Linked DNA regions of Alligator mississippiensis. The protein of the gene in region 3 purifies or fractionates together with the protein of the main gene of each other region. This does not show direct contact. Links are inferred from orthologs where the notes say so. Each region holds a gene or a part of one and is shown on either strand. Other genes may lie near its edges.

Region 1 (10,599 bases), on a different chromosome or scaffold from region 3:
TATAAGCATCCTCACACTTAAAAACAGTGGTGGGGGCACTTGAACTAAAGCCTGTTCAATGAGCTTTAGTTTAAGCACCCCTGCCACCATTTTTAAGTGCAGGAACCCTGATACAGGAGACACAGGAGGCTGCTGGATCACAGTAACTGCCATGCTCTAGCATACCCGATTAAACTGAGTCTGCTCTGATTCACTACAATTCCAGTGTGTTGGAGCAGCTTCTGTGCTCCTGTGTGGTGCCCAAGTGTTTCTCTGAAATAGAGCTTGTTTAGCAAAGATACGTATGCTCCAATCACAACACTGGCCTCTCTGTCCCATTTAGCCTTTGAGGAGTACACCAAACTTAATAAATGTTGTTTACAAGTAATTAAAAATTGTTTAAAGTATGTGCTAATACTAGGCTTCCTTGATTTAATGACTTAAATGAATCTGTAAAGGAAAATCCAGTAAGAACTAAATGCTCTCTCTACAATGACCAAGCATAAAGTAAATAATCCTGACAGGAAATTACTTTCTGACTAAGCAAAAATCATACAAAGTCAGTTTTTGCAGCCTGTTTACTAATGCTGCCGTGCACAATGCTCTAAAATTAGAAACCAAATAAGCAGGGGTGGGAAGGCTGGGGGGAAATCAGCATGGGGGGTTTTAAAGTATAACAATAGCAGATTTGAATTCACTACATATTTGACATTTGCAGTAAACTTTAAGACTTAACAGTCGCATAAGAAAAATGCTAAAAGAAAAGCAAGCTCCTTGAAATGCAAATATCATTAACTATTTTAAAAATCCTTTAACAACTTCTAGAACCCAAATCTTCCACTTTAGCAATAAAAACAGCTGTCAACTGCCTTTTGTGTTGTGGGGGGACATATTTATAAGATGGCATCACCTATACATCACCCAAACAGCAATAACAGTCTCATTTTCATCAATTTACACCGCATCATTACAACCAACAGGGAATCTAAATTTCAAATGAGAAGAAAAAAAATCTGATACTTCTTAAAATTATTCCTTAACTAAAAAAAGTTGAAGAAATGCAAATTAATCATACACTGATATACCAAAAGATTAATTCTTTCATGAAGATATCCCAAGTAGATAGAAGAGACATGCACCTATAGCTTAAATTACTCAGAGGAAAAACAGACAAGAAAAAACTATTCAGTTATAAGTATATGCAGCTTGCTGCATACAAACTGAATGTCTAGCAAGCATTCAAGATTCATAACTTCACATAGCTCTCTCTGACAAACAGCTTATAACTTAAAAAGAATGTAGGATGGGAATGATTATCAATCATAATCTAAGTAATAACCGTAAAAAATAATTGAAAGATATGTCTTAAAAAGATATTTAAAATATGTAGGCCTAACTAGTCTAGCTTTTAAAAAATACAACTATTTTACAAAATATAATAGAAGATCTGTTTACAATAGTTATTTCTAACAATTTGATAATATATCCTTTAAACAAAAAGGCTAAACCATTCCTCCTTGGTATTTACTCCTGTACATAAAAACTAGAAAGTTTAGCTGATGTAATCTTATTTTCATTGTCCACCATGAATGGAAATACTAACTAAATAAAAGTTAACTGCAGGAAGTAGACTGAAAGAGACAAGACTGAGCCCATATTAAATAACAGATCATTTTAAAATATAAGTTATCATTTAAGACCAGCTGTGGCTAAATATTAATTCCTTCTCCAGAATGTTTTCAGAACAGGTAGATATCCTGCAAATTGTTGATAAATGGCTAGCTTTATACACATGAATAGTCTCACTAGTCTTAACCAGGGTACACGGGGGCCGGAGTGGGGGGTGGGGGGGTAGAGGTAAATTGTGTACAACTGTCCTTCTAGATGCAAAGCCACACAAACAATGACCAATTAGGGTCATTAGTAATGATCTTTTCTGCATTCCTTTGAGAAAATGTCAGAGTATATTTCAATAGTATGAAAACTCTCTCTCAAACACAACTAAAAGAAAGAAAAAGGTGTCTAAAAAGCATCACAAATCTCCTTCTGAACATAATTCATGTCAGGGAAACATTCCCCCCTATACGAAGGATGACTGCACTGCAGAAAGGAGAGTGTGACTTTTTATCAAATAATTACAAATACCTCTACCAATTTTAGAACTGTGACATTTTACCTTACTTTCAATTTAGGAACACGGCACTGTCAAAGAATAGATTCATCTAATCCCATTTTTTCCTGCAGTCACACCTGATACTTTTCTCTCTTTTTTTTTTTTTTTTTTAGGTTTGTGGAATTCTAATAGTCCAACATTATCAGTATATAAGGGAGTTTTCAGCCAAGAATATGCTGACCATTATTCTCATTGCACAGAAAGTTATGAGCCCCCCTATGCAAAGAACCAAGTACCCTCAACTCCTACTGATGTCAGACTACGTAATAATAGAAGTGTTGAGATCTGTTGCTCAAGTTTATGCTCCCCCCCAATGCTGTAGGGGCCTTAGAAGAGTCCATACAATGTAAAGTTTTTTGTACTGTATGTATCCATTATTATTATTATTACCACCAACACACACAGCTAACATCATCATTAAAAATAAAAAGAGAATGTCAAGTAGGACAGTGTATATGATAAGCATTTTCCAGGTGGAACAGGCAGGATTAAAAGTTGTAATTTAGTTTGTCTCATTATTGTCCTAAGAAAATGATCTGGGTTACATAAACCAGGAAGCCTCCCATGCATAGTTTCCTGCCTGGTCTACATCCACATCTGCCATATTTTTCCCCCTTCTTGCCAAACTTGATATTCATTATAAGATATGGTAGCTGGGTTTCAAAGAAAAAGGACCCTCCCTAGGAAATCTGTGTGGGATTCTTCTCTCCCTCTGAAGGTTAACACTAGTTGCTCCTCTCCTTTCCTCACAACTAGGAGTTATGACAGGACTGTTCCAAATGAATCTCTGCTCCAAATGGAGCAACTAGGTCCCACGTTTACCACTTTCCTCAAACACTGGGTGCAGGCATCTCCAGTTTTGCCAAGCCAGGCTAAACCAGTACAAGCAACCTGCAACAGGAACAACCATTTCCTAGCTGCCATCAGCAGTCAAAAAACTTTAACTGGTTTAGCAGCAGCAGCTTCAGTGGAGTTTCGGGTCAAGACAGAGCAGGCAGAACAAGACTGTGGAAACAGGTAGTCTTCCCTTGAGGCTGGGTTTCGGGACCCTGGCACAGCAGTAGTGACCGCACGCAGGCAGGCAGTGCGCAACTAAACGGAGGCAAAGCCCAGGTGCTGGCAGCAAGGAGGAGGGGGATATGTGAATGGAAACAAACTGAAAAGAAATGGGGTGAAGAAAATAAGCCGGCAAGGAGACACCTGCACAGCTGCTTCCAGAGCCGGAGTGGTCTGCTCCATACAAGCTGGCGGGCCACGGCTGCAGCCTCCCTGACACCCTCCCAGCACACCAAGGCCTTCTCTGCGCGGCAGCGGGCAGGGCAGGGCAGGGCAGGGCAGGGCAGCCCGGCTGCTTCCCCCCCCGAGCCCCGACCCGCCGCGGCTGCGGACTCCTCCAGGCCCAGCGCCACTCACCCGCCGCCTCGCCGGCCGGTGCGCCCGCCGCCCCATTCAGGTAGAGGATGGAGAGCAGGTGGGGCTGCGTCTTCTCCAGGGCCACGCGCAGGTCCTGGAAGTGGTCCCGCTCCTTGGCGAGCAGCAGCTTGAGGAGCAGCTCGGCCTTGCCGGGGGCTGCTCCCGCCCCGGCTTCCTCCAGCTCCAGCAGGTCGCGGGGGCCGAGGGCGCCGGCCGCCTGCAGCAGCTCCACCACCGCGTCCACCTCGCTCATGGCCTGAGCCAACGCGGGCCGGCACTGCGCGAGCAGCTCCTTGTGCTTGGGCTCCATGGCCGCGCCGCGCCGCCCTCCCTCCCTCCCTCCCGCCGGGACGCGCAGGCCGGGGGCGGTTACTCTCCACCGCCTACCCCAGCGCCGCCACGGCTGGGCACGGGGCCGCTCCGCACGAGCAGCGGCTCAGGCGGCTTGTCTCCTCCCCTCCCGGCCGCCCGCAGCCCCGCAGCATGCCGCCCGAGCCGAGCCGGGCCGGGCCGGGCCCCGCTTCCCGCCCTGTCCTGCCGGCAGACACGCGCCGGCCGCGCGGCGCCTCCCCCCGCGCGGACCTGGCAGCGGAGGCGGCTGGTCCCCCTCGCCCGGCCCGGCCCGGCCCGGCCCGCGCAGCGCCGCCTCCCGCCCTCCCCAGCCGCTCCGGCAACTTGTGGCCTCGCCGCGCCCCGCTCCAGGCCGCAGCGGCCGGGGGAGGCTTCAGCCCCGAGCGCCTCCTCCTAGCGCCAGCCGCGCGCAGCCATGTTGCTTGCACCGCGCCCAGGCGCGGCCCGGGCCGCGCAGCCCCCAGCTCCCACTCATGCCCCTGGCCGCCCGGCGACGGAGGAAAAGCACCCCCGGCCCCGCCGCTCCTCTCCCCGGCGCGGGCACAAAGAGGGAGGGAGGCAGGCAGAGAGACGCCCCGCCCAGCCTCGCGCTGCCTGCGGCCCGGGCCCTCCCGCGCCCCCCGCCCCGGACTGCCGCCTCAGCCCCCGCAGCCGCTGCCGCCCCCCGCCTGTCCGTCATGGGCGGGGGAGGGAGGAGCGCGGCTGCTGCCGCCTCCCCGCGCCGGGTGGGGAAAAGGAGACCTGCTGTGCTGTGCTGTGCTGTGCCGAGCCGAGCCGTCGTGCCCCGGTCCCGGCGGGGAAAGGGGCATTGAAGCCTGAGCCCCCATGCCCCGCAGGGCGGAACCGCCCGAGGCCCCCCGACCTCCAGGAGCCCGTCGGCAGCACGCACCCGCGCAGGGCTGGCTCCTGGCGCTGAAGTAGGGGAGCAAGGAGGAGCGGGTGGGGGTTGCTCACGTAGGGATGGCGGCCCTAGGCAGAAAGCTCTGCCCCCGCGGGGATGTGGGAAGGGGGCTTCTAGTGTGTTACTTCCTCTCCTTCGGTGGCCAAGAGCAAACCCATGCTCTGAACTCTGGGATCTTACAGAACTGTGGCCACTTCTCCGCCCACTGCTTCCAGAAGTAAAGGAGACTTCGTTACGAGTTCAGAGCTTATGAAACACAAGTGCTATACTGGCTCCTACCCATGCCCCATCCAGGCCAGCATCCTGTTACTCGGTTCAGCTCCTATAAACCTGTTGTCTTTTACTAAAGATAGAGGAACACCTCGGAGCTGTGAACCTGGCTCTGACGGGCAGAACCGGATGCTAGAGGTAGAGCTTTGAATTGGATCTAACCCTATCTAACGATCCCTGGCCTCTACTAGATGCCCAGTTGTGATTTCTGCACAGTAGGTGATGTGAGATGTATGCATCCCTTATACAGTATCACCCTTGTTTTGTTTGCTGAAAATAAATCATTTACTTTTTTGGGGGGAGGAGGCAGGAAGAGAAGTTAGCCCCATCCCTGAAAACTACTGGAGTGAGTGAGTATACCAAAGCAAAAAGCAGGTGCAACTGAAATAGAATGTCTACATGATACAAAGATGAGAAACGTCTTCAATATAAAAATGTAAAGACAGACATTGTACTTCTACATCCTGTACTCACTGAATACACTGAGGAAGCAAATGAATGACAGAGCAAATCTGATTCACGTGCTTACACAATAAATATTAAACTGGATATACTAGTGCCATCTACTGGAAAGACTGTCTAAATCCCTGGCCTGCCTTGTGACAGCATTAAAAGCAGGGGTGAGGGAAACAAATGTTCGTTTTGCAGGACAGTTTGGGATTTCAAAGTTTATTTTGTTTCTAAATTGGGAGGGTACAAGGAATTGTGAAGTCTCCCTTCCAAACAATTTCCAGAAGAAAACTGGTCCAACCAAGTTGTTTTGTTTTGATCAAAATAATCAACATATTAGCTAGCCTGTGTTGTTTTGGATTTATTGTAAATTCATACGGTACAAATACATTTCAAAACGAAAGTTGTTTGAAGACATTCTATTCCAGGGTGATCAAAGTGTTTGTCAATTTTTTTTCACTATTGTAATTTCTTAATTGAAACAGTTCTGTTTCTTTGGGAATGTTTCAACAATTAACCGTTTGCTACACTGGCAGATAACTTTTGGCCAACTCCAATGAATAACTTTACATACAGGTTCGCCTCACTTAACATCGTCCCCGTTAACCTTGTTTCGTTATTACATTGCTCATCTATTAGAGACCATCTTCAAAGTTGCACAGTGTTCAGTTATAACGTTGTTTGTCCGCTACCTGCTAGTAGGTAACTATTGTGACATAACTGGATTCACATGACATGGTTTCACTTAAAGTCACATTTTTCAAGGACATAACTATGATGTTAAGTGAGTAGCAGCTGCAGTTGCCACTCATCTTGGCATTGTTACTGGTAATTTAAGGATCCTTTCACTTATCAATAAAATTCAGCTTCCTCAGGGGAATCAGCAGTGGTTAATCAGCAACAGGGCACAATAGTTATACAAAGAAAGTAAGAAATAACTATTGAGAGAATATTGTTCATAAATTAGGGTAAAATGCTGATATTAATTATTACATTGAGCAGCGATTTACTTTGCAAGCACCTCATGGACGTCACCTTTAATTACCACAAATAATTACAGGATTTACATTTTATCTAAAATACCACACCTGCTACAGGTAAGGGCCTCTGACACTGTGTAAAAACACTAGTAATGGCACAGGGAAAATCCTGCTGTTTGTTACTCCCACCATTTTTGTAGCAAGGCCGTTATTTGGCTGTCTCCCATCCACGTACTTAAGTAAAGCCTGATTCTGTTCAGCTTCTGACAATAGACAGACTCATGGAAGTACAGCTGGAAGCAGTTGCTCTTTAGCTATCCTAGGAAAAGCACTACATTTTGGAAAATCCAAGTTCTGAAGTGAGTTTTTTAGCCCAGAAAAGAAATGAAAGATTTATATCTAGACAAAAAAAGTCACCAAAAGTCACAACATAATCTTGCAAGATTTAAAGGGACACCCACAATGTTTTTTAAATACTGGTAGTTTCCATTCGTGTTGGCTCCATTGTTTTGAGCCCGTACTTAGAGCTTTGAGAAGAAAAAGTTCTTCCTTCTACTGATTTAGTTTTCATGCTTAGTAAACTTTTTGTATTAATGGAATGGCAATGCACAAAGATGGGTTTGTTCACTTCCTTGTTTACACTGCAGCATCTTGATTCAGTTCTAAGAAAAAAAACGTTGCTGGCTAACACTTGACATTAAAACACTGTTTCTAATGCCATTAACTGCATACATTATTTGAAAGAAAGCAACAATAAAAACTATGGAAAATAAATAACCATATAAGCATACAATACAGAAACCAAATTCTGGGTCATGCTACCTAGCTCACGTTAGAGCAGGGGTGTCCAACCTTTTTGAATGTGGGGCTGGATCATGAACTTTTTATCACCCAGTGGGCCGGCAGGAACGGGCGCTCGCGCAGCCTGTCCAGTCCAGCCGCGGCCTGGGGGCACAGGGGTCAAGGGGTGCCACCTTACCCCGCCATGTCCTCCCTGCCACCTGGGCAGCCTCAAGGATGCTTCCGCACCTGCACACCTGGGCTCAACAGCCAGGGGGACATGTGGGGACTCTACAGGGGGATGCAGGATATGCAGGGACACCCCCCTGCTCCCTCTCTCCCTGGGGCAGCCCAAGCAGCAGGGGTCCCTCCCTCTCCGGGATCCGCGACTCAACACCCCCAGCATGATGTCTGTGGGCGTGGGGGGATGCGGGAGCGGCGCCAGCTTCCTGCCCCGACAGCCACAGCAACAGCAGCAGCATCTCCCACAGGCCTGGCCACAGCATCCCTTCGAGCTGGCATCCACGCCCCCTGCTGGCATCCACGCCCCCTCCAGTCCATGCAGCCGGCAGGGACCGGTGCAGGGTGGGGCCGGCATGCAAATGAGGAAGGGAGGGGTGGGGTGAGGAAGGGACACCGTAAAATGAGGGGGGAGGGGAGGGGAGGAGCCACACCGTGTCAGCAACATCAAGCTGACACGGTGCATGTGGAAACCTTGTCCCTTCCCTAGCCCTTCAGCAGCCATCAGGAAGCTGCTGAGGGGCTGGCGGAGGGACAAGGGGTGGGAACAAAAGTAAACAGCGTTTACTTTCATGTCCTGTCGCAGCACCGCGGGCCACAGAAAATGGCTTGGCGGGCCGCATGGTGGCCCACGGGCCATATGTTGGACAAGCCTGCGTTCGAGTAACTTTGGTCTGCTCCACAGTGATAAAATGAGCAGTCTGCAGTCCTCTAGCAATCCATGATGCACCCCGCTTACCTCTTCACCCAGAGCAGGGATAGAGATCATGCTTCTTCTCACTAGCCCTCTAGCAGCATGTCAGAGCTCTGCAGGCAAGAAATGGTATTAACCCTTAATGTGCAGCTGCTCATAGCATATTTTAATTGTAACACCACTTAACATTTTGCACATTTAGTATGGTCTAAGTACAATATGTAATTTCACCCTAATATATGAATATGTATGCATGCATATGTCAGTATAAAAACAAAAACAACCTTAACTTCAGCACTGCAAAAAATGCCAACCTAACATATTTGCTTTTTTATTCCTTAGATATATGATTATCATCAGGTCAGGATCTATAATATGAGGCACCCATACTGTAAGATCCGTTACCTTTTGATTAAGTCATTGCTTTAAAGGATAGATTGGGACTATGACTTCGGAGACTTGACATTTTAGTGTGTCCATTAACACATGTTCAACAGGTCAAGATGTAGCCTATGACTACGCATTCATGTTTAACATGTTTTTACCGCTACCAGCTTCTTTTTCTTTTCATTAGATCCAAGAGATGGATATGAGGAATTGTGCATCATTGTTTCCCTTTAAATCTGACAGCCAAATTCTGTTATTTATACTAGTTAAAACTTCTTGAACCACATATACAAAAGGCAGAAATCAACCAGGGTTAAATTACAAGGGTTGCTATAGGAGGTCAACATTTACACCCTGCCTAAAAGATGTTACCCCTCCTATGGCAACAGGCAGATCAGTTGGTTTCAATAGTGACAGGGAGAGAAGACTGACATCTATAAGAGGAATGTGCTTACAAGATCATTTTCAAGTAAATGTGAATGAGGTTACTCTCTAAAGCAGTGGTCACCAACCAGTCAATCACGGAGTCTCTTTGAGTTGATCTGAGGCTGGGGGGTGAGCATGCGCATGCATGCATCACGCCCCCCCCCAGCCCAGCAGGTCAGTCCTTGAGGGAGGGAAGGGGTGGGGCCCAGATCGAGGCCCCTGCAGTGAGGGACAGAGTGCAGCAGAGACAGGACCAGGTGTAAGGTGAGTGGGGCTCGGAGCCAGGCAGGTGTTGAGAGGATTGAGCCTACGCAGCTCGTCGAGGGGCACAGAGGGTGAGGGGTTTCCACGACTATGCACACTCTGGTGGAGGCCCCAGGGGGCACATGTCCTCCCATTGTGTGCAGTGGAGGCAGCTGCCATTGCAGAATGGACTTTGCACCCCAAGCCCTGCTGCAGCTGGCTTGGGAGTGGCCTGATGCCATATGCATCCAGTCACCAGGCGGGCAAGGGACAAGGCTCAGCCTAGCGGCTGGACACATGTGGCATCGAGCCACTCCCAGGCCAGCTGCAGTGGTGCTCGGGGCACAAAGCCCAGCCTGCAACAGCAGCCACCTCTGCTACGCACAGATGTGGGGGGGCCGCATGCTCCTCCCCAAACGCGGGACAGTGTGGGCGGTTGCAGCAGCTGTGTGGGAGGGAACGGGGCTGAAGCAGGGGCAGACCTTGCACAGCCAGGGCGCAGAATGGAGCAATGAGTGCCTCCCTGGGAGGGCATGGGGGGCATGTGCCCCCCTGGACCTGCATACTGGCCAGGCTGCCTGCCACTGCAGGATGGGCCCAGGGCTGTGCTGGACTTTCCCAGTTGGGGGCTAAGCCAGGCTATGGTGCTGGGATGGGACTATAGGGGAGGGGGGCTGCAGGCTTCCAAAAATTCACTGTAGCACCCCCAACCCTCCCAATGCCACTACTGCTGCTGCCTAGCCGAAGTGCAGTGTGGCCCAGCCCCCCTATCAGAAAGAGTTTGGTGTTGCCTTCCAGCCCCAGCCCACCCTCCCCTCAACTCGGATCCCGGGCAAATGGCCCCCTAGCCCTTGGGGGGCGGGGGGGGGGGAAAGAGGTGGGGAAAGCAGAAGGCAGCACCAGGCTCTTCCCAGCAAGGGGCTGGGCCACACTGCACTTGGGCCAGGCGGCAGCAACTCTGGGAGGGAGGGCTGGTAAATTTTCAGGTGCCTACAGCCCCCATCCCCCCACTGCCCCCTCCCAGCACCACTGCCCAACCCAGGCCCCCACTGGAAAGAGCCCAGCACAGCCCTGGCCACATCCCAGAGCAGCAGCCAATGAGGCTGGCATGCAATGGGTCAGGTAGCTCCTCAATCCACAGCTGCCTACGCAACACAATTTTACCAGTATGAGGGCAGCTCACTGCATCCTCACTGGGTGTGGGAAAGTGGATAATCAGGATGCTTCCCCAGCACTCCCTCAGCGGGGTGGGGAGGTGCAGCAAATTGTTTGCCCCAGCAGATGTGCGACTAGGATCTGACAAATTTTATCA
Region 2 (10,383 bases), on a different chromosome or scaffold from region 3:
CACCGTGCTGCAACCAGGCAGTAAGGGTTTTGGTGGAGAGGATCAAGAGGGAGAGCCCATGTCCATGCTGCCTCCAGCTAGATGGCAATTCTGTATTCTTCCATCAGGCAGCAGGGTGAAGTGAAGGGAACTGCAAGGTCCTAATGCCATCCCACCTCAGATATGACCTCTGGGTCATTCTGGCCCACTGCTGAAAAACATTGCTGACCCCTGGACTAAGTGATAAATACATATTGAAGTTACATAGCTGGTCATGTGAGAGAATCCAGAGGAGAGCCATGCACATGATCAGAGGGCAAGAGAACAGGCCTTATGAAGAGAGGCTGAGAGCCATGGGACTCTTCAGTCTGGAAAAGCACAGGCTTGGGGGGACCTGGTAGGTGCTTATAAGTACATAAGGGGTATACATCAGGACCTGGGAGAATGTGTGTTCAACAGAGCGCCCCAAGGAAAAACAAGGACCAAAGGTCATAAACTCCTACAAGACCATTTTAGGCTGGACATAAGAGAAAATTTCTTTACGGTCCGAGCCCCCAAGACCTGGAATAGACTCCCTCCAGAAGTGGTACAGGCACCTACTCTGGACTCATTCAAGAAGTGTTTGGATGATTATCTTGCTGGTATCCTTTGACCCTAGCTGACTTCCTGCCCCTGGGGCAGGGGGCTGGATTTGATCTTCGAGGTCCCTTCCAGCCCTAATGTCTATGAAAATCTATGTGTATTTTTTAACAGGAACATGAATGTAGTTATTGCAATAATGTTAATAAGAACCCTGAAAAAAGATCTCAATTTGATCATAAAATTATTGTGGCACATAAGCAGGATCAAAAAGAAAGTTGTATTAACAGCAGAGACCAAACCAAATCTGTTTTTGTGCCCTGAATTTACTCTAGAAGCAAAGAAAAAGCCATTAAAGCTGTCTTGCACATGATACTGCACTTTCTTCTTAAAAAGAAAGCAGGCAACAACATTCTGTAACAGCTGAAACACCCAAATAACCTTAAAGGGTAACTCCATTAAAAGAACATTATATGCAACAGTCTAAACTAGAAGGCAAAAGCATCCCTTTTTGATTTCAGATGTCAGCAAAGGGCACATTTTACCTACCGAAGGCACCTAGAGCCCACAGAAACCTCCAAATTGAAGCCTCAATGTCTTATCAATGTCTATCCACCACATAACACCATACCATCCTCAAAAGAACTAAGCTGATTAGAAAAATAAAATGTGTTTATTAGTTTGATATACCACGTTAATAATATACCCAGTACCTCCTAATCTGATTTACTTGCTATGCAAACACCAGTCTAAGTAACAGGTAAAAGCCTAAAACTCTATAGAGTACAGCCAGTAAGCTAAACAGTCAAAACTCAGCCTACAGTAACTTTTGTCCCTTGAAACCTTGACCTGAATCCCAACACAAGTTATAGTCAACCCAGTGTAAATCCAAATGATAGAAACTTGTATGAAGTTAATATAATAAGAAATATTTTACTTTCCTGAAACCATGACTACCTACTATTGAAAACATACACAGTATTATTACCAAGAGTCAGGAATATTAACATTACAGTCAATAAAGCTCTCATCAGCTTTGCATACATTTTTAAGTACTTTGTGCCTACAGTTAAGCCTTAAATGTCAGAACTCCCACCAGTACCTTAGCCTTTATGGGTCCTCTCTCAGGGATGGACATAAAGGCAATTTATGAGGATGATGCATGGAAAGGCTGCGTTAAGAATGACTGTTATGGATTACTGAATGGTCTAATAATCCCAATTAGCATTTCTGAGATGTTTGGAGACTTGAGTCTAGAAATCTCGATAGGCAGACTAGTGACACAGTCCCCATCCTATATAATTGATATGACTCTAATTTTAGGTTGGAGTATGTTGTGGTCAGCATGTTCGATTCCAATTAGAAGAAAAAAAACAAAGAAAAAAGATTTAGAGCCACAAATATACATCATCAAATAAACCTGGAATTAATCCAATGTTCTTAAGGCCACTATCACCATGTCAATGCAAAAAAGCTACTGTTTGTGCTCATATCTTAAAAGACCATTTACATTTCAGTAAAACACGAGTGGTACTAACCTCAGAAGTTTCGTTTTATTAACCTGTGTTTTGAGGTATAGTAGGACAAGGGGAGAGAAAGCATTATGAAGAACTGAAATTAAAAAAAACCCAAACAAAACAATATGCTTTAAAAAAAAATGTTTTGTAAAATAATAATGAGTACATTAATTCAGCGCTGTCCAACTACACAGTGGGTGGGGACTACCCACCGCAGGGGCCAGGGCCCTACCTCATCTACCCTGGCACCATGTAGACAGGACCCCTGCCCCCCACTCTACTCCATGCATGCATGAGCAAGTGTCTCATCTCCTACTCCCCAACCCCTGCCCCCCAACTCCTGGTCTGAGCTCCCCCACTGCAGTACTGCAGTCTGTACCTCCCTGCCCTGCTCCATGGCCAGGAAGTGAAAGCCAAGCAGTAGTAGGGGTGGCAGGGGAGGAAGCCCTGAGACCCTGCCTGCAGTAGCCAGAATGATGAAGGGAACAGCAGTCAAGGGCACATGAGGACCAAAGATTAACTCCTTGTGGTCCGCATCCACTATTTGGACAGCTCTTTATTCATTCATTGGCTGGATTAAATCTTATTTTAAAAATTCTTAGTTAAATATGCATAGGCACAGTTAATTGTATTTCAAGTTGAAACCGTTTGAATAACTAAGCCAACCTTTTTAAAATTTTAAGATAAAAGTTCTTCTCTCCTCCCATTCATTTTTTACAGCCTTGTATTTTTTTAAACATCTCAATAACTGCTTTGAATGATGTCATATAATCTTCCTGATAGCAAATATCACATACTTCCCTTACAACCTAAAATAATTAGTTTGGTCAGAGATGTCACGTCAGATGACTAAGTAAACAGGACAACTTCTTATCATAACATGATACTTACAGGTAATAGTTACAATTTAAGTAATTCATGCCACCACTGTTAGCAAAATGCACATACAATATTATAAAAAAAATATGATGCCTATTATCGATGTTCTGGGCACCTGACACAGGAAACACACCACCAGATCAATGCACTTCACTGCAGCCTTCTTAAAAGAAAGGCTTTTAACCAATATTGATGGGGGCTGATTCCAAGGAGCTTTCAAAAAATTCAAGCGCTATGAAGCTTTCCATAGATCTAAGGTCTGGCTGGCAAAGACGCAAAGAGCCATCTTTCCCCCACCCCCTTTCTGAAAGCCCAAGGCAGCTCACTCTCTGATATTACAGTACGAGATGCCACTTAGGAAACCAGAAATCCATTGTCCTACTTCAGGCCAAGCTTGTTAAAAACTTTTAAGCATTGTTTTCACTGTATCCATGTTTCCAGCAGGGACAAGGGCAGCAGGAAGCTTTCAGCATCAACCAGCACAAATCAATTGTCCTGGTGGACATGAAACTCAGGTCAAGAAAAGACGAGCGAAACCTGGAACAGGCTTGGCCCCGAGAGGAGCTCGGCCCATCCCCAACCCAAGGTGTGGCAGAGCAGGTGTCCTTGGCTCCCACTTCTTCAACTTTGTGAAGTGATTCAACTTTTCCACTGGGTGTTGCAATGGCTCTATTGCTCCCTGTATCCCCAGGAGCCCCTCGCTCAGGGAAGCCCTGGGCAAGCTGGACATTTCACAGAGGGGTGTGTGTGTATTGGGGGCACGCGTGCACGCGTGTGTTGTGTTGGGGGGGATACACACACATGTAAGTGTGTGTGCCGGGGTGTGCATGGTGGGGGGGGGATGTGCATACGCGCGTGCGCATGCTGGGGGAGATGTACATGTATGTGAGTGTGTTTGGGGATGTGCAGGCTGGGGGCACAGACAAGGAGCTCGGCTAAAACAAGCAGGGCTGAGCAGACCCGCGGCACCAGCAGGGCCCAGCATCTGCCGGCTCCCAGGCTCCGCAGACGCGCCCACCCTGCGAGCCCGCCGGCCCAGGCAGCGCCCGCACAGGGGCCTGCGGAGCTGCCCGGCCCATTCATTCCGGGCCGGGCGCCCAGGCCGCGGGGAGGGGAGGGGAGAGGAGAGGAGAGGAGCTGGGCCTGGGCCGGAGCCGCCGGTCCCCACCCCCCCTCGGGCCGGGGCTTACCACGCATTTCTTGCCGAGGCAGGCGAAGAGGCTGTCGTTCTCCTGCGGCGTGAGCAGCATGGAGCCCACGTTGCTGACCCGCCGCTGCTGCGGCTGCTGCGCGCTGCTCATGGCCGGGGCCGGGGCCGGGGCCGGGCGCTGCTGCTCCGCCGCGTCCGCTCCCCGCCGCCTCAGGGCAGCCGCATCGTGGCGCAGCCGGGGCCCAGGCCGAGGCCGAGGCCGGGGCGGGGCGCGGCGCTGCCGCCGGCGGCCGATCGCTCCCCGCCCTCAGTCCTTCCCGCTGCGGCTAGCGCTAAACTCCCAGCCGGCGCCCGGCTCCGGCGGCGGCCGCACAATCCAACATGGCAGCGGGGGCGGGCGGGACCACACGGCGGCGGCGGCGGGGGGAGGCCGGGAGCTGCGCCGCCGTCACCGTCACCATGCGCGGAGGCACCCGCCGCTCCCGCCCCGGCCCCGCCTGCCGTCGCCGCCGGGCTGGGCCGGGCCGGGCCATCCCCGCGCCCTTACAGCCCTGCGGCCGAGCCAGCTCTCGGGGTGTCCTGTGTTGAGGGGTCCCTGGCCTGTCTTGTCTTGAGCGCAGAGGGTCGTGAGACAAGGGGAGGGGACCGGGACCGGGACCCCGAACCACCCGCTTGTTGCGTTGTGCAAACCTCTGCAGAGCGGGGACCCCTGAGCTGGTACTTGTTCCGTTGTGGAAACCGCCTGCCCTCCGGACCCGTAACCCCCAAACCGCTTCACTCCTTCCTTTACAAAAGCCTCCTCTCCAGACCCGCAACCCTCAAACTGCTTCACCCCTTCCTTTGCAGAAACCTTCTCCTCTCCAGGGTTATTTGATACACTGTTTAATGACAGTGCTGGAGGGATGTGGTAGCTCTGATGGTCTAGGGATTATATGAGAGGCATAGATTATTTTTTTATTTTTTTGGACGGGTGAACTCTTGTATTGGGCCAACTGCATGACGGGAATAAAGTTAGACAAGCTTTTGAATATAAGGCGTTCCTCATCCAGTCAAGTGGGAAGCTTATTCCAGCCATACACTTGGTCCGGTAAAAGAGATCAACCTCCCCCTTCCCCTCCCCCCCAGAAATCCATGCCTCACATTACTGAATCTTAATTTTCCAAGTCAGGATTTATAGACTGGATAAAGGGAGGAGGCAGGATTTTTAATGGAAACTGGATACACACTTTACTATGGAGAAGTGTTTAGATCTGTGGAATACATCGTGTATGTGGAGAGCGAGGGTGGGAAGATGAATGGTAGGCAAGGTGGTAATCGTAGACCCATTACGCTCTCTGGGGCCAGCCAAGAGACGTCATCAAAGCGCGCACACAAAATCATAACGGTACATTTCGCTGGCTAGGTGTTCTCTCTTTTCTTGTGATGGGATAGCAGTGCCGGGCTGCCTAACTGGGATGGAGTCTTAAGGTAACATAACATCCTTCAGGACTACATGCACAGGCACATCAGTCACTTCAGATAATCTGATCTGACCCTTAGCTGCTCAGAGGAAACATTTATGTCCGCTCATACAAAGATAAAGTAGGGTGTTGATAACATCACATTACTAAAATTCTCTTGACATTTTAAAGGGAAGATGGGTTTCGCTCTGTCTCATTAAGTTGACCCTTCCTGTGATCATTTACATTTTTATTAAAAATGGGCTGCAGTTGCCTGACTTATCAATTCTGCCATTTCTAACTCTCCCTCACTCAGAGTTGTTAGGGCTTTTGTATTTTCTATCAAAACTAGCTGTTTTAGTATCTACCTATTATTTATTATTTGTGCTACAGAATTTCCTGGAAATCCCAGCCAAAATTGGTGCCTAGGCACCATAAAAAACATACATATATGTGCATCTTTTGTCAGTGAGTTTGTAACAGTAAGGTCAGTGAAGAACATCCATCCCTTTACTCACACATCTCTTAGAGCACTGGTTCCCAACACGGTGCCTGCATACGCCAGGGTGGCCCCCAAGATTTATTCAGGTGCCTACACAGGATTGATCAGATTGATCTAAATACTTTACTATCTACTGATCTAAATACCTTAATATTCATATTGGCACCCACTGCTTTTTCTTTTAAATTTGAATGTGCCTTTGGGCACATAAACGTTGGGATCCCCTGCCTTAGAATGTCTGGGGATATGAGAGAATATATGGAGGGTCCTGAGCGTCGAATGACAGGAAGGTAAAAATCAGGGTATAAAGGAGTCCTCCATGTGCAGATCTTGTGTGTGTGGTAAAAACTGTTAAAAACCCAGTTTAAGCCTTAGTTTTACAAATAATTACACAATAATAGTAAATACTCCAATGCCTAATCCCTCTTCTATGTAAGTATATGCCCCCTTGAGACACAGTTCTAGGAGAAACCTTTTAGTGGAAGCCCCTTGTTAAAATATTGGCAGCCACCTAATTGATTGAATATATACAAAAAAGATAACACACATGGAAACACTTTACAAACTACTGTAGCTTTTTATCATCTTACAAATATTGCATTATTTTGGAGCCAAATCTACAGTAGATAATTCATTCACCTGGCTTTGCTGTTGGCTAGAACTTGTACGGCTTGGCTGGAAACTGAACAAACCTCTGACCATTGAAACCTGGCACCTTCTTTCATGCTAGCCCATTTTGACTGACCTCACCTGTTCCTCTGCAATCCACTGATTCTTTCTCACTCCCTGCATATTTCCATATACTTCCCAAAGGAGCCCTGGGGCATCTCCATTACTTTTCTCCTCGGACTTCTGTCAGCCAGCAGCCATAGCTGTGAACCTTCATTTTCCAAAATTCCATCCCTGTTGTTAATGGGACACATACTCAAAGAATCTTGCTTGCTGTTTTAGTAGAAAAAAAGATCATTTATCTGGATTATTACATTATCTGTGCAGTAGTTGCTTCTGTTTGCTGCAGCCTAGAAATAGGAGTGAAAAGGACATGTACGATAGCCTTGATGATGGTACTGGCTGTAGGACTAGGTTACCACTGCAAAATGGATTTTTATCTTGGACAAAACCAACAAAGAATGGCTATTCTCACTACAGTCACCCAGGCAGGTGAATTTCTCCCAACCAGAATTATTTGGATACTGTCCAAGAGGTTATGAGACTTCTGATTGGCTCTGCAAAAAGTAATTGGAGTGACCGTTTTCCTGAAAGTTTCACCTCCCTCCCCTGCCAATTTCTCTTGAGCTCTGCCCTGGATTTATCACAGGTTCTCTTACATTTTAGGATAGATAGGCCACCACTAACAATTACTACAACTCTTCCAGTCCTTTTGAAGGTCTGACAGCTGTCCTCAAACTCATCCAAATGTATTCCGTTATTATAGACAAGGTTCTTTGGCAGAAGTCCGATACCTTTTATTAGATCAACTCAAATGGTTGGAAAAGTTCTTCTTAGTAAGCTTTCAGGTACAAACACCCTTTGTCAGGCTGAGGAAGCATCTGTAGGTTGTCTGTGCTCTGCCTGGATAGAGTGGTATAGTAGCCAGAGGCCAGTACACATTCTTTTATTGTATTTGCTCATAAAATCGATGGTCACATAGGACCCAGACACTGAATAATATTAAAAGTGGCATGCAAACATATCACTATGACCACATTTAATCATTTTTGGAGGCTAATATGATAAACATCAGATTTAATAAATTGTCTTTTCATTATCCATTTCCTTGTCAGAAGATTTATCTTTAAAGAAAAACTGTATATGTGAATACTTGCTATTAATCCTTTTCTATTAGTCCACTTAAATGATCAAAATGAAAGATAATATCCATGTGGAAACTTTAATAGTAGTGTATTAGCATAGTTTTTGACCAACACTCTACTGTGCAGTGTTATTAGGTTACTGTAAGGCTGTGCACAATTTCACTGGCTGTTTCATTTCAACACTGTTTCGACTCCTGTCAAGCTCAAAACAGCGAAATTGAAACAAAATGAAAGACTTCAAAAAAGCCTCAACACGAAACGAAGGCAGTCAAAACATTTCAAAAGTTTTGAAATGTTTTGAGTTTTGAAGCTGAAAAAAACAGGGAAAACAGAAAGTAAGGAGAGGGAGGGAGAAGAGGAGGGAAGGACTGCTCTGATATTGACTGTGTAGCTGATCACTGACTTTGATCCTTCCCTGAGGTCCCTTCCAATTCCAGTGCTCTGGGGGAGGGATGGAAAAACAGCATAAAAAGCAGCATTGTTTGAACTGGCCTGCTTCCTGCCTTGGGGTCAGTTACTGAGCTGTGTCTTAAAGCAGCTCAGCAGTGTTAGACAAAAACGGCTATCAGTCATTTCCTACTTGCTAACCTAGCAAGTGGGATTCATCAATACCTTTTTCTTTCTATACCTTTTTATTTTGTTATTATATTCATTCATTCATTCCTTTCAATATATTCCTCCCCACAAATCCTCTTTTTGTTTTTGTTAGTCTATTTTGATTGGGCATGGTGTGGGTGTGTGGGGGTTGTAGGGACCCTCCACACACTCCCCGCATGGTGCACAGCAAGTGCTTGTGGCCCACGCAGGCACTACTGCCCAGCTGTGGGCAGCTCCAGCCATTGCTGCACATGGTGGTGAGGAGTGCAGGCACGCTGGCCTACCTCTATCATGTGGGGCTCCGTGTGGCACATGTACAGCTCCCAGCACTCACGTGCCACCAGGGGAAGCCTCACACAATGGAGCTGTGACTGCCTTCTGTGCCCTTGTTGTGCAGGTCCTAGGACTCTGCTGGAAGTGGAGGGGAGCCCCACCCCTTGTTTCCCAGGTACACACATGGTGTGTGGCTCCATTGCTCAGGACTTCTCCCAGTGGTGCAGAGCTGCACGTGCGTCACACAGAGCCCCAAGTAAGAGAGGCAGGTTGCTCTGGCTGCGCTCCTCGCCACCACGTGCAATGATGGCTGGAGCCACACACCGCTGGGCAGCAGCGCCTCTGTAGGCCCTGAGTGCCCCGAGTGCCCACTGTCTGCTGCTGCTGCCACTGGTGGCAGAGGCTGTGTGCCTTGGGGGAGTATGTGGAGGTCCCTACACGCCCACCCTCCCTCACACCCCACAAATGCTGCATACCCACACCCTGCTCCCACAACTCCTCCACATATATAGACACAGACCCAACATACCCTATTGCCCACACACACAGCCACACCCCCTCACAGCTCCCAAACATACCTCCCACACTCCACCACCCCCCAAACAATATACAAGAGTAAGAGTTCATTTTTATTATGCAATCTCCTCTATATACAATACACAAACACAAATCATGACAAAAATATTTTTTGTAATAAAATTAAAATATGTTATAGTAAGTGTTTGACTTTTAGTGTATGATATAGGTTTTTTCTGGTTTCAAGATGATAACCCTCCCTTCCCAAAAGGAATACTTCTTGAGGCAAGGGGAGGGATGTCTGGTGGCAAAGGTCAGGGGTTAGGGGCAGGATTTCCAGTCTCAAGATGGTGACCAGGGAGCGGGACAACTGTCAAGGGGCAGAGCTACACCTATGGCCCTCATCAGCTCACCAAAACTCATGAAGTGGCCCTCCAGCAGAAATAATTGCCTGTCCCTGCTCCAGGGCTACTCCTGCCTGCCACAGTCAGCCCAGACTCAGCCCAGGACAGTGGCAGTGTCTGGATTCCCCCTCCCTACCTGGTCCTTTCTCTCCACCCCAACAGACCATTAGCCTGGGAACAGGCACAGGGATGGGGGACCCCTTCTGCTGCCACTGCTGACCCACATTGGACCCAGTCCCTGTGCAGCCTGGCTGAAGCAGGCAGAAGCAACTCTGGAGCTACCTTCTTCCCCAGGACAGTGGGGACAGAAGCAGCAGCAGAAGGGGAGAAGGGGAAGGGAAGGAATGTGCCTCTGAGTACGAAGGGGAAAGCCCAAAAATTTTTTTTAACTGCTTTGGATACTTTAAATGTACCCAACTTCTGCTCCTGTGGGTTGTTGGCCCACCCTGGTGCAGGGGTGAGGGGGAAAAGGAGGAAGGCAGAATCAGTTCTCATATGCTTTCTAAACTTTGGGTTGCTTATTTAAAATGAACATGGGGGGAATTTCTGTACCTGTGCTCATTCCATTTTTGCACAACAGAAGATAACATTGATTAGTTTGATGTATTGAGCTAAACTTTGTACAAATTAAGAATGAATAGGCACGCTGTTTTGACCTTACAGTCTCTAAGGGACAAATCCAGGTCCTGTCTTCAGAGTCATGGAGGCTCCTATCTAGTCTGTGAGTGGTGCTT
Region 3 (10,501 bases):
GACAGGCGTGAATCTGTTTTGAACAGGGATTTGTGCATGGGTCGAGGTGGGGGAGGTGAGCCAGGCTGTTGTTTCACAAAGGGAAGTTTTTTGCTGAAGGCTTTGGACATTTGTCTTTGCATGTGGAGAGGGAATTCGTTGTAGTCTCCCAGGCCATCTTCATGTGCCTGCTTTCGGGGCTGAGGCTGGGAGAAAGCAGTAAACTTACTGTGCCAGATCTCCCTGTGTAAAGATGGGGTGTGAGGGAATTGCTGGCCCTCAGCATTTGCTGCTGGGTTTGCCACAAGAGTAGAGCAACCAGAAGGTGTGTAGACCAAGCATAATGCATTTGAGTACCAAGCACCCAGTAGAAGTGAGACTGCTGCTCTACAGTGGTTAGCTGAGCTGTCCAGGGGACAGCAGTGACTTTCAGAAAAGAGGAGCTTATCTGGCCACAGGAAGGGCGGGCACCACGGTATCCTGCCAGTGACATAGCTATCATGGGGGAAGGATCAGTGTCCACTGGTGCCACCGGAAATCAGGCCTGTAAGTGAGCAGTCATGGCAGAGAGGGTCTTGTGAAATGCTGTGTTTTCAGAAGCATCTGTGCCCTGGGGTTGCAATGGGGAGAGAGACATTGTAGAGGGGGTAAGTGAGTAGGGGAACCCAGTGGATGTGGGAAAATGGTTTTGAAGGCACTTAGTGGAGTGGATCATTCGGCAAGTTGGACAAAAAGGCATCTCATTGCAGGGTGCTCAGTGTGTGTTACCAGCGCACAGCTGAGAATTTCCTGAGATTGGCCTCTCAAACGTGAAATGCTGCAAAGCTGGAATCTCAGCAAGCAGAGTACCCCGCTGGGTTAGTTTACTTAGACTCGGACTGAAACAGGTGTCAGAACAGACCCATAAAAATCCCAGGAAGCTCTCTTATTTTTCAGGAGTGCAAAGGTCCCTTCCCCTGCCTTTGGCTGACCTGTCACTGTAGCTGGATCCTCTTCTGCCGCTGTCACGCTTCATCAAAGCAGCACACTTTGCCGCCTTCCACTGCCCTTCCGGTTTAAACCACATGCTAACACCACTGAACAAGTGTAGCAGGTGTGCAGCCTTAGACTCAGCCTTCTAGAGAGGGATGTTTGCCAGCCCGTTTTCTGCCCCTTGATGTTGCTGGCTTCCCTTCATGCTGTGGCCACCCGCTTGTCTTCTAGCCCCCAGGGAAGGCATCAACCTTGCAGAAACCTCTTCTGACCTCTTTCCTACTTCCACGTCACAAAGGTGACTCCTTAGTGGTTCTTTAGGTAACTGCCTGTGTAAGCAGACTAGGGTTTTAGTGATGGACACTTGAAGTCACTTGCCTCCATTTTTTTTTCCACACGCCCCCTGCTTTGTGCAAATGTGAGTGTTTTGAGAAGGCTTGTCTGTTTCCTACCCCATGGGGGGCAAGGGCTTGATCGCTCCTGTCTGTGCACCTCCTGTTTTGTATGGCAACTGTCCCAAAGCATGAGTGGGCTAAAGCACTGCATCTTTCTTTCCAAGATGGCTGATGGCACAGAGGTGCTGGCCAGGGCTGGACGGCCTCTGCTCAGCAACTCTGGGCTGTGAGCCCTGTGCCGGGCCCCACAACGTGGCCTCTACCCCATTCGGGGTCAGGAGTGAAGGGGGGAGCTGAGGCAGCTGGGATCCCTCCCTTAAAACTGGGGAGAAGAAGAAGACACTGCCAAGATATTTGTTAACCTCATTGTTCATCGCCACTTGGGAACTTACCGCCAACGGTGGTTTCTGTCCCCCTTCACTCTGCCTCAGTTAATGGCGCGCCAGCTCTGACTGTGGTTCTGCTCATGCACTCTGGGCTTCTGGTACTGGCTTTTCACAAGACAAAGTCATTTCTTCGCAAAACCTCTCCTGTGCCAGAGGCTCTGCAGATGGATTTTTTTCAAGCAGATCACACTTTTTGGCCCTGCCAGCTCCTGCTGTGGGCCTTTTAGGCCTTTCTTCTCCCCAGGGAAAAGATTAACTGCTATTTCAAAGCAAGAGGCTCATCATAACATTGCTAAGTGGTGTTTGCAAACCTTGGAGCTGTGAAACCATAGTTACCGGAGCCGTGCGCCTGCCGAAATTATCCATGCAACCGATCAGGGGACACCGATCCACGAGCCCTCCTCAATTCCGATTGGCTTGTGACTTGACAGCACACGGACCCAGAGGGGGTCTCTCCCAGCCTGTTAATTAGCGGATGCTCCTCCAACAGGAGTCCCGAGCCATCCCATTGCTGTCAGTCGGTGGGGCTGAGCTGGGATCAGGAGTCCTGCTCTCGCATTAGTCACAGACGGGAGGAAAGTAATCGCCAGCCCAGTGGGCTGTGGGCGTCGGGAGCACTGTGGATGACTCATGGCTTCCCCATGCAGGAGCTATTGGGCCTTTCCCCTCCTCTCTAGTATCCATCTGAGAGCTGCTGGGAATGTATTCTGTATCCCACACAAGCACATGCAGCTAGCATGCTGTCAGGCAAAGCACAGTCTCCAGTTTCCATGGGAACGCCAGTGCCAGGGTCTGTGTTCCTTCAGCACAGCATGCAGTGTTCCTAATGGGGTGAGGGGGTGAGCGGCAGCACAGATTGGGGAGAGTGGGTGTTAATTACCCCCTTGATTGACTAATGTTCATCCCTGTAACCCTCTCTGTGCTGGCTTCCCCTCTGCTGGGGTTTAGCTAGCTGCTGCTGCTGCGCAGCACAGTGCTGTTATACAGCGAGTGGCAAGGACTGTATGGACAGGTGATGACAGAGCCCCCACGAGAGGGTGAACCAGGGCAGGTTGAGACTCCACTTTTGGTCAGAGCAGTAGGCGAGAGCTGCTGCTCCCAAGTGCAAAGAGTCTCCATTGTACTGTCAGTATTAAGCATTTAGACCTCGCGGTGCCCTCTACCTCCATCCAGTGTGTCCTGAGGGAGGCAGAGAACCCCACCGCACAGGCCTTAACGCCTGGACAGCTCCAAAAAAAACCGAACTGGTTCCCAGGATGGCGCTAGGCCACCACCCCAGTATTTGTTGTGCGGGGAAGAGGGATCTTGCCCTTCAGAGGCCTGCGTAAGAACAGGAGGGGCTTCCTTGCTCCCCTCATCCCAGTACCAAGCATTGTGAATACCTAGTGCCCCCCTTCCTCTATTCCTCCTGGGCCATCTAGCTGCAGAAGCTCGACAAAGGAGACTTTGCAAAAAAACAAAAACAAAACAAAACAAAAAACCCCAACAAAAAACCCAAAATAGGGAGAAAAAAAGAAAAGGGGGGGAAAAAAAGCCAAGCAGGCCCTAAGCCCTGGAGCACAGTCAGTCCATGCGACTCTGGCCATGTAGGGGCAGCGCGCTCGCACTCACTCCTTTCTCCGGATGGCTGTCTCAAGCAGCCTGGGGTTTTTTGCATGTTATAGCAAGGTGCATGTAACAAGGAGGGAGTCAGCAATGGGTTTTTTGTTTAAGCTTTGGGAACAAAGGTGCGTTCACCTTGTATAGGGAGAACCTTTGATGGCGATAACATCCCGCACACCCACGGGGAGGGCCCTTCTCAGCACGCTGCAACACTCAGATCTGTCTTACCTAGCTAGATTCTCTGAACAGAGCCGCTTGGAGGCTGGCCTGCCTCACGCCACAAGGACCGCAGAGCCCCTAGGAATGCGTGTTGGGTGCGATGGTGATGTGAGGTTCTCCGCTGAAGGATCCTATGCCCGTTGCCTGGAGACTGCCTCCTTTTTTTTCTTGCTTTTTTTTTTTTTTTAGTTATGTTTAAAGAAAAATGGTGACAAATGTTATTTATTGGCAGAAATTATTTAATATAATTTCTCTTCTTTTTTGTGAACAAGGAATGAATTTGTTAGAACTGTCTTACTGTAAATGGGAAGTCATCTTTAAGAAAAAAAAAGTTAAAAATTAAATGACACGGTCGTTCGGCTCCGGGGTCTTTCCTTGAAGTCTGATGCCCCACGGCGCATCGGAGCACTGGCAGCTTTCCTGTTGTGTGTTTCCTCAGAAGCCAGTCAAGGCGTGATGTTTTGGCCCTGAATCCCCGTGTCCCGTTCTCAGCACTGGCAGGAGCTCTACTTGTTGTGTGGTCCCCAGGTTAACACAGCACCCTGTCCCATGCCCACAGCCCTGCGTCCCTGGCAGAGGAAAGTTAGTATCTTTCCAGGCCCTGATTAAATGGGGAGCAGCGGGAGGTAACTGGCCTGCGTTTGCCCACGGGAGAGCACAGGTTGACCCTGCTGCATAAAAATCAGCTGAGCACTCCTCACAAGAGAAGGGCGTAGGCCAGGTGTCATGAAGGGGGGGGAATGCTGAATGCTAGGGAGAACCCACCCAGGGAATTACACTGGCTGAACTCCTGCTCCTGTTACAGGGGGATTTTTCTTCCCCTCCTGCCTCCCAACTCCTTCTGGTGCCTAGAGTCAGGCCTGCTCCCTATTCTGGCTCCTCTCCACTGTATGTGCCACAGTCGGAGAGGAGGCAGGCATAACGGCAGACCCAGGATGTCAGGTCACCTGGGTTCGCTATTGCCTGCTCTGGTTTAAACTTGATGAGTAAACACAGTGGGCCTCAGTTTTCCCGGTCCCTAAAATGGGACCGTGCGGCTTCATTAATCAGTGCTGTCAAAGTGCAGGGAGGTCCTGGAACCAAAGGTGTTTGCCAGGGCACAGCTAGGGGTGTGCGTACTTGTGCTGCTGCTCTGCTGCGCTCTGCAACAGGAAGACAATGTAACAGCACGAGGTAAGCACAATGGGGTTTGTTGCAGTGGTGAAGGCAGAGCCCACAGAGGAACTACCTTGACTCAGACCTACCATGAGCACACTGCTCAGTGCTGGGACCATCTGCAAAGCCACTTGCTGACAGCAGCCGCACAGGCCATTCATCTGCCCTTTGCCTTCAAGTGTATGCCCCCTTGGCGGTGCCAAGAAAGGTGGGATATGAAATGCCTCGGAGCCGGGCACCTGCTAACACAGAGCAGAATTGTGAGCAGACTTGAGACGCTGGGTAGAGATAAGCTGAACATGGAGCATGGGCCCCTGCTGCAGAGAGCTTGATAGCTCGGCCTGGCTACCATTCACCAGCTTTTCTTTGGCTGTTGATGCAGTCTCCCGCCTGCATTAAGCCCCCACCACTCCCCTATGTTACCTGTTGTCCAGCCCTTGCAGTCAGGATCAGTGCCACCCCCTGCAGCCTTCATGCCAATAAATAATGCCAAGTCCCTCAAAATACTGAAGCGAGCCCTCCTTCCCTACAGGTGAGTGGGGTTCAGAAAGCAGCACCTTGCAGGGGATGCCTTACCCAGGGGAGCCAGCCCAACTGCTGCAGCTGTCTATTCCTAGGTGTCATGGCTTTTTTATGAGGTGAGACATGGACCAAAGGCCCCATGCTCAGCCGTGCTGCCTGCTTCCTGGCCGCCACAGAGGGCGGCCAGAGCAGAAGCAGCAGGCTGGGGCTCCTAGGCACTGTAGCAATTCATGTAATAGGAAGTAGCACTGCCTCCCCCAGCCTGGAAGCCTGTTACCCGCAGGGACCTGCTAGGAAGCTCTTAGACTATGCTCAAGCCAGGGCACCTCTCTGCAGCTGTCCCTGCTGGGTGCTGGGACTCCTGGCTTCTATTCCAAACTCTGCCACGTGGGGGAAGTCGCAGCCCCTTTGTGCCTCCCTTCTGCTGGCTGAAGCTTTGAAGCGCTCTGAGCCCTGGGCTGACAGCCTGCTCCAGAAGGGCCTGCTGCTGTTGCAGATGGGCTGTGGCACTCCAAGCACAGACTTGCTGCTGTGTAGGAGTGCTATCTAATCGATGCTAGCAGGCCTGGCGCCCACTGCCGAGCAAACACGAAACACTCGACCTTTGTGAATTCTGTCATTGCCTGCGTGTTAAATATTTATCAGCAGCCAAAGGACGCACTTGGATCGGCTGGCACGGGCAGAGCGAGAGGCTGTACGCCCACAAAAAGAGCTGGAAGGCAGAGGCCACCAAGCAAGCAGGAGCTGGGGAGGTGAGCTGGGTCCGCGCATATGTTGCAAGTGTGGTGGGGATTGCCTGTGGGGTTGGAGCCACCTCACCAGTGCAGCAAGGCTGCGCCACAGCCAGCCACTGTGGGAATCCAGCCCTCGCACTGGGCAGGCCGCCTGCAAGCGGCTACCTCGCTGTGGTGATGTTTGCTGCACGGGGAGCAGATTGACGGCAGCTGGCTCGGAGGGGAAGGTTCTTCTGGATCTCCAGACCATGGCTGTTCTCAGTGAGGTCTGGGATGGAGCTTCCTTGGCTCTTACAACCTTTCTCAACTAGCTGGCAACCTGAGATGCCCTGCCACAAGATGGGGTGGCCACAGCCACCAGCCCCTTGTTTGCAGCCCTTGCATTGAGACCTCCTGCATGGTACCTTGCTCTGGCTCCAGGGATGTGAGTTGGAGTCCTGCTTTGGACTGTGCTGGAGGCCCTGGTTCCTCAGGCTGGGAGATGAAGCCCATTTCTACGTGATGCAGCCACATCTGAGCCTCGTGTGTCATCAGGTGTGGAAGCTGACATACCTTAACCACATCAGCTGGGCTCTGACCTTTCACGCTCCGGGTTGAACACCTCCATGGGCATACTGCGCAAGCTAGCGGCCCCTTTTGGGTTGGGTGGCTACAATGCAGTGAATGGCATGAGATACATTCCCCAAGCAGAGTGTGCCGCAGGGACACAGCCAGTTCTTGTTGACCGTTGCCCTGCTCTGTGTTACCACTAGTGCAGGCGGTGGTTGATCTTGAACCGAGAACGGCAGACTTGCTCTGTTCAGGGGGTCACATCTGCTCTGTACTGCTTGTCAGCACTTCTCAAGGTGGTGGTAGTGTGATGCTGGTTTGTTCAGTAGTGCTTCAGTGAGGGGGTCCTACTCCCAGACCAGGACCTGCTGTGCCATGGCTCTATGCTCACACCATCCCTGGCCAGAGTTGACATGGGCCACTGCAAGAGAGGAGCCAGCTTGTCTGCACCGTTCAGCAGGCAGCAATGGTCACTTAGCAAACCTTGGAGAGGAATGCCTTCGATTAACTGGTTGCTGACCTGTGAGGAGTGAAGGCCCTGACCCTCCAGGGAAGACCCCCCCTATCAATACCCTGCCCTCAAGGTACCTGTGTGTGGCCTGGCAGGGGGTGTACCCCCTGGAAGCTGTCTCTGTGTGTGCTGGGGAAGGGAGTGGTCTGGCACCACACATGGCTTTCAGCCTTTTGGACTATAACTGAACAGTTTACTGCAGGTTGCACCAGGGGATGTGCGAGGGCAAGACCTCAGGGCTGTGCCAGCTCCTTTCCCATTACAAATGGCCATGGTCCTGTGCTAGAAATGCTACCTCCTGCATGGGAACACACTGTCTCCGGTGTGTCATTCTTTTGGCATATCTATAGTTGCTGTTGGTTTTCTTGGCTTGCTTCTTCCCCTGCCCCTGCTCTCCCACGGAAATGTTTCTGCACATTGCCATGGTGTGAGGAATCCAGCAGGAGGTGCCCTGGCCCCTCTTCTCCAGGCAAAGACAATTTGCTTAACCAAATGCACACACCACTGCCAGCGCCTAAGGCATGACCACTGTCATGGGGTTTCTGCAGCATCACACTCATGAAAGGTTTCTGCAGCATCACACCAATGCTGTATCAACCCTGAAGGTTTTCTTAGGCCAAGCGGGTTTTGCCTTGTGCCAATAGCAGCCTCATGTGGGTCCAGTGGCAGCATTATAGGCAGAGGCTGGTGGCCTGCTTCTGGGGGTTGGTGGCAGGTGGGGTGATTTTGTGGCAGAAGGCAAGGAATCTGAGCCTTTCTACAACCAGATTCAGCTTGTCCCTTGCTGGTGTGGGTGGCAGGGAGGCAGGCAGTCAAAGGAAAGAAACCGTGGGTTCAAAGCATGCAGGTCTTATGGTACAGAGGGCTGGTGGAAGTCAGCCAGGCCCTCTTCTGTGGCAGGCTCTGGCTTTCCCAGGGACTTCCTTGGCTTTGTGAGTACCAGGAAGCCCCGTAGTGAACTCTGCTCCCTGAGGCATTCCCTCGCCCTGCAATGTGGCGTGGCTGCTGGGCACGTCTGAGTCACAGGGCTGTGAATCCTTCACCCAGCCTTAGCCTGCTTGGCTGGAGCAGCCCTAGTGCCTTAAAGGCATCCACGTCGCTCAGCCCAGCTCTCGGGGCCGTCAGGCTGGTTCCTCCCTTTGTGCAAGGCCCTGAGTGCTGCTGTTCCAGCAATGCTGGGTTGGGGGGCCCCTCCGGCACCATGCCGCTCCAGCCCTTCACTCTGCACTGCCCTCAGAGGTGAGCTGCAGCACCAGAGCCAAGTTTTACCTAACTAGCACAGGTCAAGTCATAGCAGCATGGTTCCCGGTGGCAGGCACTCAGCCGTGTCTTGGCCACATCTCAGGTGTTCGTGGTACCTGTGCTGCCTCGCTTGCAGCCACCGGGGATGCTTGTAGGTGCTCCAGACTCACTACCAACCCCCTAGTTAGAGGGTAGTGCTGCTGCCTGGCCACCCCTTCCACGGACATCACATGTGAGGCGACTCTGGCACGCTTGTGGTGCCAGATCCTGTAACAGCCCAGCTTATGGTAATGCCACTTTTATTATCCTGGCATCTCCGAAGGGCTGGAGCATGGCCCTGCCCTGGATTCCAGGGGAGGGGAGGGGGGACCTGGCACCACAGGACATGCCAGCAGCAGAGCGGGTGGCTCATGTGTTGGACCGCACAATGGCTGCTCTCACTCGAGCAGGCCCGGACTGGGTGAGGGCAGTAACCTGAGCTCGCTGCTCTTGTGAAGAAAAGCTCGGGGAGGTTCTCCATGTCCCAGAGTCAGAGTGCGTCGTGCGTGTGCTCCCGTAGGGACACGGGTCCTGCTGAAGTCCACACAACCTGCTCCCTGAGGACACCTGGGAGCTCTCTAGGATGCTGCACTGTTGCATGGAAGCCATTTGGGAGCAGATATGGGATGGCCGGAGGATGCATGGGGTGGCCCTTCCCTTCTCTTCCCCTGCCCCAGGAGCCTTCCCTGGGGTAGGGATGTCACTGGAAGGAGAGGCCAGTTAGGGCACCTGCCAGGGCTGCATGGCACTGCAGGCTGTGCTGTGCAAATCTTTCCTCCTGGAAATCCCTCCTCTGCCCCAGCTTCCCTTCCAAGCTGGTTCCCCTGCTCAGTGGTGCCAAGGACCAGAGAGCAGTCCCCCACCTGGACTGTGCTGGCTCTCCCCTGTGTGTCCAAGGCAGGTGTTGCATGACCATGTTCAGCTGGTTTTCAGGCCTGGCTGATGGTCCCAGGGGTGGAGCAGGCCTGCAGCCGCCCTGGGAGCATCCATGCTAGTGCAGTGCTGCTGGAAACCCTGTACTGCTCATCTTAATGTGGCTCTAGGCAGAGTGAGCCTCGGGGCAGGGAGAAAGCAGCTGAGGAAGGCCCGGCGTTACCCCATTTCCTTCAGCAGCAGGAAGGGCGGTGGTTGTGGTGACGGAGGAGCTCTGGACACTGCTCAAGAAGGAAGTGGCCAGAGGTGCCCACAGTAGGTCCAGCTGGAGGAGCGACCACTTGCATTATCCTGGTATATATAGGGGAACCAAGCATGCTGTCAGCCTCAGTGCAGGTCAGTGCCCAACTGGGTGTGTTGTAGGGAGAAAGGACAGGCCTTGGGCAGTGGACACAGGTGCAAAGCCAGGGAGCAAAGTTGAAGGCAGGTCAGCGTGGTTGGACACAGAGCTGGGCAGGGCATGGACAGGCAGGAAATCAGACCCAAAGAGCTGGCGATGCACTGCACAGGACTGGTACGAGGGCCTGCCTCACTGCCCCACGCTGCTTGTTGTCTGGACAGTCAGCTGCCACCGCCCAGGGGTGGAAGCCAGGATCGGCTGGAACAAACTAAAGGAAAACTGTGAGATAACAGCCCCGGCTGGCCCGGCCAAGCTGTTTCCATCACGCAATCTCATCCCTTCCTGGCTGGAGCTGTGTAATAGGTCTGCACAGCTCTTCCCCCACCAGCACCAGGGCTGAGTCCTTGCTTCCTAGCTGTAAATCCCCACGCATCCAGAGCAGGGTGGAAATATTCCCCTCTCCGCTCAAGCGAGCAACCTCCAGTCCCAGCACCACTTAATACCCAGCTTCTCTTCTCACTCTCTGCCCTGACTGGCCAGGCTCTTCCTGAACCTCTGCTCTGCAGGATGCTGGCTCAGCTCCCTGGCTGGCAATGTGCTACCCGCAGATGTTCAAGACACTTGTGAACAGGGAGATGGGCGATGCGATGAGGCAGGGTCTTTGCTCTAGCTGGCCCCTGCTACATACCCCTTCAGAGGCAGTAGGGACGCAAGAAGAGATGCAGGAGTAAGGTGGGGGTGGATCATGTGTGGGTGGCAGGCAGGTCCCCAGGATGAAGGGTACAAAGCCAGGCTCCAATGTGAGCAGTTGCGGGGGCAGAGGGGTGCGTCTCAGCCCGGTGCCATGCCCAGGCCCAGCACAGCGGGCCCTGGGGACTACCGGCTACAGGGCAGGGCTCAAGCAGGCTGTGGCAAGACTTGCA

The links.
Region 1: the proteins of SORBS3 (region 3) and DLG5 purify together in Homo sapiens (co-immunoprecipitation; 3 studies listed by BioGRID and IntAct, with this or other methods). This does not show direct contact. The link is inferred for Alligator mississippiensis from reciprocal best matches to the Homo sapiens genes SORBS3 and DLG5.
Region 2: the proteins of SORBS3 (region 3) and WASL purify together in Homo sapiens (co-immunoprecipitation; 3 studies listed by BioGRID and IntAct, with this or other methods). This does not show direct contact. The link is inferred for Alligator mississippiensis from reciprocal best matches to the Homo sapiens genes SORBS3 and WASL.

The regions. Positions count from the first base shown.
Region 1 is NC_081829.1:31,286,771-31,297,369, forward strand, and holds the start of DLG5 (disks large homolog 5), read right to left. Parts: upstream 4,513-10,599; 5' UTR 3,876-4,512; coding exon 3,566-3,875; intron 1-3,565. UniProt on the Homo sapiens protein: Acts as a regulator of the Hippo signaling pathway.
Region 2 is NC_081827.1:43,713,463-43,723,845, reverse strand, and holds the start of WASL (actin nucleation-promoting factor WASL), read right to left. Parts: upstream 4,513-10,383; 5' UTR 4,256-4,512; coding exon 4,145-4,255; intron 1-4,144. UniProt on the Homo sapiens protein: Regulates actin polymerization by stimulating the actin-nucleating activity of the Arp2/3 complex. Involved in various processes, such as mitosis and cytokinesis, via its role in the regulation of actin polymerization.
Region 3 is NC_081830.1:21,755,646-21,766,146, forward strand, and holds the start of SORBS3 (vinexin), read left to right. Parts: upstream 1-5,896; 5' UTR 5,897-5,982; intron 5,983-10,501. UniProt on the Homo sapiens protein: Vinexin alpha isoform promotes up-regulation of actin stress fiber formation. Vinexin beta isoform plays a role in cell spreading and enhances the activation of JNK/SAPK in response to EGF stimulation by using its third SH3 domain.